Linked DNA regions of Callithrix jacchus. The protein of the gene in region 2 purifies or fractionates together with the protein of the main gene of each other region. This does not show direct contact. Links are inferred from orthologs where the notes say so. Each region holds a gene or a part of one and is shown on either strand. Other genes may lie near its edges.

Region 1 (4,529 bases), on a different chromosome or scaffold from region 2:
ACAAACCAGTGTGGTGCCTAACAGAGAGGACAGAGCCACCGGCAGGGGTGCTCAGGGGCTATTCCCCCTTTTATTAATAAATGACAGCGGTTTCTAGTGCCCCCCCGCTTTGGGACAGTTGCCTGACCCCTGTCCATCATCCCTTCAAGTACCCGCATCAGAAAAAGAGCCCGCGCATTCGCCTGCCAATGCCTTGTCGGTCGTAGAGGACGTTGAACTTGTTCACAAACTGGTTCATGGTGTTGCACGTTTTAGTGATGGTGCCGAGGTAGGCCATGAGCCCCACATCATTGCATTGCTGGGAGGGAACATAAAGGACCAGTTCTTCAGGGGATCTCTTGTGGCATGCCCAGGGAACAACAGTCCCCAGTCCTGCATGTGAAAGTGACAGCATAAGCCCCACCTCCCCATCTGGGTTTTACACTCACATCATAAAAGTCTGTCTTGAACTTGTCTGTGCTGAGCACTGGGAGGCAATGACACAGAGCATAGGCCTCCCGCAGGATCTCATGATTAAAGGGGACCTCTCCTAAAGGCACAAAAAGAGGCTGCATTAATTTGGATGCTGTCACTTCCCCAGAAGGGAGAGGAAGAACCCCAGGGAAGTGTCAGGGAAGCCCTTGACCTACCTGCTTCAGAGGCCTTGACGTACTCCAAGATGAGCTTGACGCGGCTGTGCAGCATCTTGATGGCACTGTGCTGTGCTATCAGGTGTTCAGCCACTGCAAGGGGATGGAGACAGGAGGAGGTTGGGACAGGATGTGGCCACACATTCCACCCCCACTTCCAAGGAATCCCCTCCGTTACCGGTGGAGTTCTCTCCACTGCCTGTTGCTGTCATTCGGGCCACGTGGTCTACACCAATGCGTTCCGCTTCCTCTGTGGCCAGAGTGTAGGTCAGCTCAGCAAACAGCATTGTGGCCTACAGGGCAAGGTAACCCACAAAGGGAGAATCAAAAGCAGGAAAGAGGACAAGAGCAGGATGTGAGGGTTGAAGGGTAGGGTTTTACCTCTCCGTTGATTATATCAATGACAGACTCAAAAACGCTGACAGGAAGCTGTGGAGGAGATGGAGAAACCTGAATACTATCTGCCAACATTGGGGCTAGTCGATTTCACACATTTCCTCTCAGCTAATTTTCCCTAGAAACCAATGAAGTAGGGATTACCTCATTTCACACAGTTTGGAGATTAAATGACTAAGCCAGAGTCACAGCAGATAAGTGGCATTTGGCATTCCCCAATACACCGTCACACAACAAAAGGTACAGCAACAATTATGACACAGTAGGCATGGGATATTACTTACATCTGTGTGCTTGGTCATAGGGTTCAACTTCAGAAAGAGGGGGCTCTCAATGATCTCACACACCTGAATGAGAGGGACGATGCACAGGAAGTCAGTGCCCCCCTTTCTCCTTCCCCTCATCCCCCATTCTCTGCTTCAGCATGCACAGGTGTGAGATGTATACCTGCTTGTGGACGTGGATGTCCGAGGGGTCAGGTGGCCCCCCTGTGGTATACCAACCCAGAAATTCCAGCTCCTTGAACACCTGTTTAACTGAAGGGGAAGGGACCAAAACACATAGTAATTATTATTATTATTTTGAGACAGAGTTGTTCTGTTGCCCAGGCTGGAGTGCAGTGGCGCAATCTTGGCTCACCACGACCTCCGCTTCCCAGGTTCAAGCGATTCTCCTGCCTCGGCCTCCTGAGTAGCTGGGACTACAGATGCACATCACCACATGCGGCTAATTTTTGTATTTTTAGTAGAGATGGGGTTTCACTATGTTGGCCAGGCTAGTCTTAAACTTCTGACCTCATAATCTGCCTGTCTCGGTCTCCCAAAGTGCTAGGATTACAGGCGTGAGCCACCGTCCATGCCCAGCCTGACATAGTAATACTTTAAGCCATCTTTCCTCTGTGTGAAGCTCCTGGTGTATTTTCACCAGCTTCTCTCCCCGCTCCTCAAATCCTGGCTCAGTTTAGAGTAATTACTCCCTTCTATCCTGTCTTTTATCCTTTACTTTCTTTTTGGGAAAGAACTCTTAATGTGTTCTTTTTCTGAGATCTCTCCAGCAATTCTCTTAACCTTTTCTTCTCTGTTCTTGGCCTCCTCTCCTGTTTATTTCCAACCTTCTCCATCTTCCCCACCCTGTACTTTTTTTTTTAACTCCCACTCCTCTTCCCCACGTCTATTCCGCTCACACTGCTCTTCCTTGGTGTAATAATATTCCTTGTCAATGATAATCTTCTCTTCCACCGTGTGGGACAGCAGCTCAAAGGAGTTCATCACCTCGATATTTCGGCCCTCCTGCTTCCCAATCAGAGCCCCAATCACTAGGAAAGAGAATGACATGGAAAAGGTGAGGGTAAGGAAACTTCTATCACCTAAGGGTCTGAGGTCAGTGGGAGCCAAGTACTGGGGAAACGATGACTTGAGGGAGGGGGAACTGGCTCCAGTAAAAAAAGGGAAAGACGACTGGGGGAGGTAAGCAAGGAGAGGAGACTGGAGGCTATGCCCAACACTCACCCTGCACAGGCCGCCCCTCCTGGGAGCGCATGCGGATCCAGTGGTCTGAGATGTTGAGAATGACAAGGGGATGGAGAGCGACGGATACACTCCCAGTCACTCCGGAGGCCATCACGCTGGGGACTACTAAGGGTGGAGGGAAAGTAGAGAGGGTGAGAGTCCGGGCCCCACGTCCTTCCCTGGAGACGGCAGTGGGGGACGACGGAGCCCGGCCACACTTCCCTCCCGCAACTTATCCCAGGGAAAGATGTTGCTGTTCCGCCCTCCTCCCTTCTTCTGGGAGCACAGGGAGGCCTCAACGCACCCCTGAAGGAGGTCTCTGGAAGCCACCCCCACACAGCCCGTTACCTGCTGCATCCACCTCCATCCCGCTGCTCCCTCCGGTCCCGTTCGCAGCTGCAGCTGCCGCCGCCATTTTCCTCGCGCCCGCCGGCCTCGGCCCCGCCCCCTTCCTTCCCGGCTTCCGTAAGGTGAGAGGCGCATGTTCAGTGTCCCCGCGGCGCGCGGCGGGCCAGGAGTCCCAGGAGTAGGTAGTTCACTGGCTTGGTTGACGGTTTTCTGGCTAAGGGATCCCGACGCCCTCGCGGGTTTTCGCAGACCTTGTCCCCTCCTGACGCCTGCGGGTAACGTTTGACAAATTACTTAACGGCTTGATAGTCCTCATCTGTAAAATTGAGATAAGAATGCCTAGTTCTTTTTTTTTTTTTTTTTTTGAGACGGAGTCTCACTCTGTTGCCCAGGCTGGAATGCAGTGGCGCGATCTCAGCTCACTGCAACCTCCGCCTGCCGGGTTCAAGCAGTTCTCCTGTCTTAGCCTCGCTAGTAGCTGGGACTACAGGCGCACACCACCACGTCTGGCTAATCTTTGGTATTTTTAGTAGAGACTGGGTTTCACCGTGTTAGCCAGGATGGCCTCTCTCTCGTGACCTCGTGATCCCCGCCTCGGCCTCCCAAAGTGCTGAGATTACAGGCGTGAGCCACCGGGCTTAGCCAAAAACGCTTAGTTCTTAAGGCTGTTGCAGAATGAATGAAATGTCGTGTTACTGCCCTCACAGTAAAATCCAAACAACCGACCACACTCTGCAAGGCCCTGCCTGAACTGCCCTGGCCTGACCTCTACTTTTCTAGCCCTTGATATTCACGCTTCAGCGGCACTGGCCCTCATGTCTGGTTTTGTTGTTTGTTTGAGACAGGATCTCACTCCATCTTCCAGGCCGGAGTGCAATGGTCTCATCTCAGCTCATTGCAGCCTCAGACTCCTGGGCTCAAGTGATCCTCCCACCTCAGCCTCCCAAGTAGTTCGGACTACAGGTGCGCCCCACCACACCCAGCTGATTTTATTATTATTTATTTATTTATTTTGAGACGGAGTTTCACTGTTACCCAGACTGAAGTGCAATGGCACAGTCTCGGCCCACCACAACCTCCGCCTCCTGGGTTCAGGCAATTCTCCTGCCTCAGCCTCCTGAGGTACTCCTGAGTACCTGGGATTACAGGCACGCGCCACCATGCCCAGCTAATTTTTAAAGTATTTTTAGTAGAGACGGGGTTTCACCATGTTGACCAGGATGGTCTCGATCTCTTGACCTCCTGATCCACCCACCTCGGCCTCCCAAAGTGCTGGGATTACAAGCTTGAGCCACTGCGCCCGGCCGTGTTTTTAGTAGAGATGTTTCACCTTGTTGACCAGCATGGTCTCGATCTCTTGACCTCGTGATCCACCTGCCTCGGCCTCCCAAAGTGCTGGGATTATAGGCATGAGCCACCGTGCCCGGCCTATTTTTTAATTTTGGTCAGAGACGGGGGTCTCGCTAGGTTGTGCAGGCTGGCCCCCAGTTCCCGGGCACAAGCAATCCTCCATCCTCGGCCTCCTAAAACACTGAGATTATAGGCGTGAGCCACCACACCCACTCTCTATGTCTGTTTTTCACATTCCTCACTCTTCCATTCAAGGGCCTGTGGTTCCTTCCCTTTTGTACGTCATGGTATCCCCTGT
Region 2 (4,334 bases):
GGTTCAAGAGATTCTCCTGCCTCAGCCTCCTGAGTAGCTGGGACTACAGGTGTGCGCCACCACACCCAGCTAATTTTTTGTGTTTTTAATAGAGACCAGGTTTCACTACTTTGGCCAGGATGGTCTCCATCTCCTAACCTCATGATCCACCCACCTCAGCCTCCCAAAGTGCTAGGATTATAGGAGTGAGCCAACACGCCCGGCCCAGAAGGGGCTTCAATTCTATGGATGATCAATAGTCTATACCTTTTAATATTGTAAGGGCAGACATTAGAAAAATATATGAGTATCATCACCATTTACGTATTTGAAAATGCCCACAGTTACTTTTGATCCCAGTTCTCTTCCTGACAATTACTAGATGACATCAGTATCCCTTTCATTCCTTCAACAAACACTCCTTATCTTTATTTTATTATAATTATTTTTTTTCAGATGAAGTTTTGCTCTTGTTGCCCAGGCTAGACTGCAATGGCAAGATCTCGGCTCACTGCAACCTCTGCCTCCTGGGTTCAAGCAATTCTCCTGCCTCAGCCTCTGGAGTAGCTGGGATTACAGGCGCCTGCCACTACGCCCAGCTAATTTTCATATTTTTAATAGAGATGGGGTTTCACCATGTTGGCCAGGCTGGTCTCAAACTCCAGAGCTCAGGTGATCCGCCTGCCTCAGCCTCCCAAAGTGCTGGGATAACAGGCGTGAGCCACTGCACCCGGCCAACAAACACGTCTTTAGCACTACCTGGCACAGGGAATTGCTCACCCCTTTGATGAAGGTGGGTTTGTCCTTGATGCCAAAATTCCAGAGCAAGATATCTCCCCCTTTGGAACCCACAGCCACGGTGCTGGGGTGAGTCGGGTGCCATGCCAAGGATGTAGCCCTCCTGTCAAAGGGGGCGGCTTTTTGTAATATCCGGTAAGAATCCAGAGTGTGCAAAAAGGACTGCTGGAGCCCCTGTCACAGAAAGAAATGAATTAGGTTGAATTAAAACTCAAGTCCTGGGTAAATGCCAATCTCTGCCTCCTTCATAGATGAGCCCCACAGCCAAGTCCTCTCACCAAAGGAAAGCTAACTGCCTGCCCTGTACATGAAAATATTTGCAATGTACACAAACTAATCATCTTGGAAAGCAACAGGGGCAGAGTACATTCCAGCTGGACCTTTACGACGTAAGACTTTCTTACCTGGCTGAGTGCCCAGTAGGCCAGTCACCAGTCTGGGTGATCGGACCACTCTGACAAGCTGGTGAACCAAGTCATCATCTAACTTGGGAGCATGCAATAGTAAAAATGCACATACAAATCCTTGAAGGCTTGAGGAAGAAAATGCCTTACCTGCTGGACAGATGGCCAGGAAGCTCTGCCCAGCTTATGCTGGTGGAGGGTCCTGACAATGCTGCGGCATGGTGGCAGGATCTGTGGGCCAGCCAGCCCCGCCCAGAGGCAGTCTGAGTCACATCTTCTGCTAGGACCTGCCAAGCAGAACAGACATATTTTCCTCTCCAATCTCACGAAAGGGTTTTCTGCTGAAATCCCCAAAAGGAAGCCTTGTTTCATTCAGCATGGCTAATCTCCATCTTATCACCTCCTAAGGCTTTTCCTTGTCTACGTGGTCTCACCCAGCACCAGAAATTAAAAAATTAGTGAGGATTTGGTCTCTCCCTCAATACACTCCCTCAAACAGTAAGTCTGAAGTGAAACTAAATAGATTGTGCAGGGTTCCTGAGACCCCAGTCACAGAAACACACAAGAATAAAGCACACTGAAGAACTCTTCCCAGTTTGGGCTGCAAAACTCGAGATGGGACTAAGTCACAATTTTATAAATCACATATAATGCATGATTAAAAAGATTTCAGGGCAGCATGGCAGAAGTCACTGTTTAGGAAAAGAAGGAATAGAAAAGCCTGGAAATGCTAAATAGGTTACTTCTGGGGAGGTAAATGAAATTAGAATAGGAATTAAAGCAACAGCGCCAGATCACCGAACTGTATTTGAGGACCCAATCTCTATAGGTCTGACCACTTAACAACCAATTCTTTTCTTCTCATAGACAAAAACCACTTAAAAAGCCCCGACTCCCGTCTTTTGAGTGTCTCGAAACTCCTTATAGCCCCAGGTTCAAGCCCCAGTAAACCTCAGAGAATGAGCTTTCTAAGGAGGGAAGAGACTGGGGGCTCTCACAGCTGACCACCTAGGACGCGCAGCTAACAAGCGTGACTATGAAATCCAGCACACACACAGCCAGGAAAGGTAGGATTCTCCGAAGCCGTCCTAACCGTGTAAGAACCCTGCTATAAACAAGGAACCTGACAAGTCCGTGTATCTGTTGTTACGGAGCTCATCTGCTTCCTGTCACCTAGCGGGACAGGTGTTGAAGCCTAAACTTTCTTGTGTCAAAGGACCTGCAGGTAGAATGCACAGCCCGAGGCATCCGTGACCTGGGCCGGCCTAGGGAGCCTCGGAGCACCCATCCCCCGCTGCAGCCTCCTGAGCGAGCACCCCAAAAGGCGGAAATATTCAAGCAGCAGGCACAGGCAGTACCGGAGCCCTTCGCACAGAGCTTCTTGGCCTCGGGCTCCAGCTCCCGGGGACTCCTGCTCCTCTTGCTCCTGGGGCGTAATACAATCTTGGAGGTCTTCTGGGTTTCTGGGCGTTTCTTGGGAGCCATCTCGTCCTCCGTGCGAGAGGGTACTGTGCTCTATGCGAAGATCATGGAGGGAGGATTGAGAGGCCTCTGGGGAGAAACAAGGCGGGGACTACAAAACTCTGGGGCCATAGGTAGCCGAGCTAAGCCGACTTCCCGCCAAACATGCCCAAGGCTTGTTCAAACCAGCTTGGAGCTCCGGCCCCACCCGTCTCGGGGATCCGCCCCTTCCTGGGAGGCGGGGGCGCGGGGAGAGGGCGAGGAAGAGGGGCGGGGTCAGCCCTCCCGGGAGGGGCAGGAACTGCGCCAGGATCTGTGCCAGCCCGGGTCAGCTGACCTGCCCGGAGCAAAGATGGCCCCCGGCTTTATTTATTTATTTATTTATTTATTTTATTTTAGCGATGGGATCTGGCTCTGTCGCCCAGCCTGGAGTGTAGTGGCTCGATCATAGCTCAGTGCAGACTCCGCCTCCTAGGCTCAACCGATCCTCCCACCTCAGCCTCCTAAGTAGACGGGACTACAGGCGTGTGCCACCGTGCCCGGCCCTGCAGTCATATTCTAGATCCTACAGTCCCATCCAATCCAAGCTGCTTCTCTGTGAAGGGAGAATGAGGAAGATTGATTGAAAATCCTTTACTTTTGCCTTTTTTTTTTTTCCTTTCTGGAGACAGGGTCTCTCTCTGTTACCCAGGCTGGAGTACAGTGATGCGATCACAGCTCACTGCAGCCTTGACCTCAAGCTTCACTGATGCTCCCACCTCAGCCTCCCACGTAACTGCAGACCTGTGTTTCCAAGCCTAATTTTTTTATTTTTATTTTTGTAGAAACAGAGTCTTGCTATGTTTCTCACGTTGGTCTGGACCTCCTGGGCTCAAGTGATCCTCTGGCCTCAGCCTCCCAAAGTGCTGGGATTACAGGCATGAGTCACCTTGTCTGGCCCTCAGTGCTTTTTTGTTTGTTTGGTGGTTGACTTGTTTTGTTTTGTTTCAAGAGTTTCTCTGTCACCCAAGCTGGAGTGCAGCGGCAGGATCTGGGCTCACTGCAGCCATGACCTCCTGGGCATTGATCCTTCCCATCTCAGCCTCCTAAGTAGCTAGGACTATAGGCACGCACCACCACACCCGGTTAATTTTTGCATTTTTTCTAGAGACAGGGTCTCCCTATGTTGCCTAGTCTGGTCTAGAACCCCTAGTATCCATCCACCTCAGTCTGCCAAAGTGCTGAGATTACAGTTGTGAGCCACCATGCCCAGCCTCCTTACTGATCTTAATTAAGATTTGCCTAACCTGTTGAATGTCCACCTAGGAGCAGCCTGAGACAGTGATGAGCCAGTGGGATTTAGAACTTTTATGCCTGGCTTCAGCCAAAGGCCAAGGCATGAAGGTTCAGAGATGAGTCCACGCTGTCCTGCCTAGCCTGAGAAGAGGCAGTTTGGATGCACCCTAGTTTCCGCGAAGAGGCAGGGAGGGATTGGGCTTACTCAGATACTGCTGGGCCTTTCCTCCACCCACTAAGCCCCATGCCTGACAGTTTGTGGGGGTGGAAGGAGATATACAAAAACTCATTAATGGTAGGCCATCATGTTGGCTCACGCCTGTAATCCTAGCACTTTGGGAGCCGGAGGCAGGTGAATCACTTGAGGCCAGTTGTTCAAGACCAGCCTGGCCAACATGGTGAAACCCCATCTCTACT

Evidence for each region.
Region 1: the proteins of DDB2 (region 2) and COPS6 purify together in Homo sapiens (affinity purification with mass spectrometry; 8 studies listed by BioGRID and IntAct, counting the BioPlex papers as one, with this or other methods). This does not show direct contact. The link is inferred for Callithrix jacchus from reciprocal best matches to the Homo sapiens genes DDB2 and COPS6.

What each region holds. Positions count from the first base shown.
Region 1 is NC_133503.1:13,493,013-13,497,541, forward strand, and holds the start of COPS6 (COP9 signalosome complex subunit 6), read right to left. Parts: upstream 2,962-4,529; 5' UTR 2,949-2,961; coding exon 2,882-2,948; intron 2,660-2,881; coding exon 2,534-2,659; intron 2,341-2,533; coding exon 2,209-2,340; intron 1,562-2,208; coding exon 1,473-1,561; intron 1,373-1,472; coding exon 1,310-1,372; intron 1,059-1,309; coding exon 1,011-1,058; intron 923-1,010; coding exon 808-922; intron 723-807; coding exon 630-722; intron 530-629; coding exon 429-529; intron 299-428; coding exon 158-298; 3' UTR 1-157. UniProt on the Homo sapiens protein: Component of the COP9 signalosome complex (CSN), a complex involved in various cellular and developmental processes.
Region 2 is NC_133511.1:112,267,776-112,272,109, reverse strand, and holds the start of DDB2 (DNA damage-binding protein 2), read right to left. Parts: upstream 2,853-4,334; 5' UTR 2,667-2,852; coding exon 2,540-2,666; intron 1,469-2,539; coding exon 1,332-1,468; intron 952-1,331; coding exon 760-951; intron 1-759.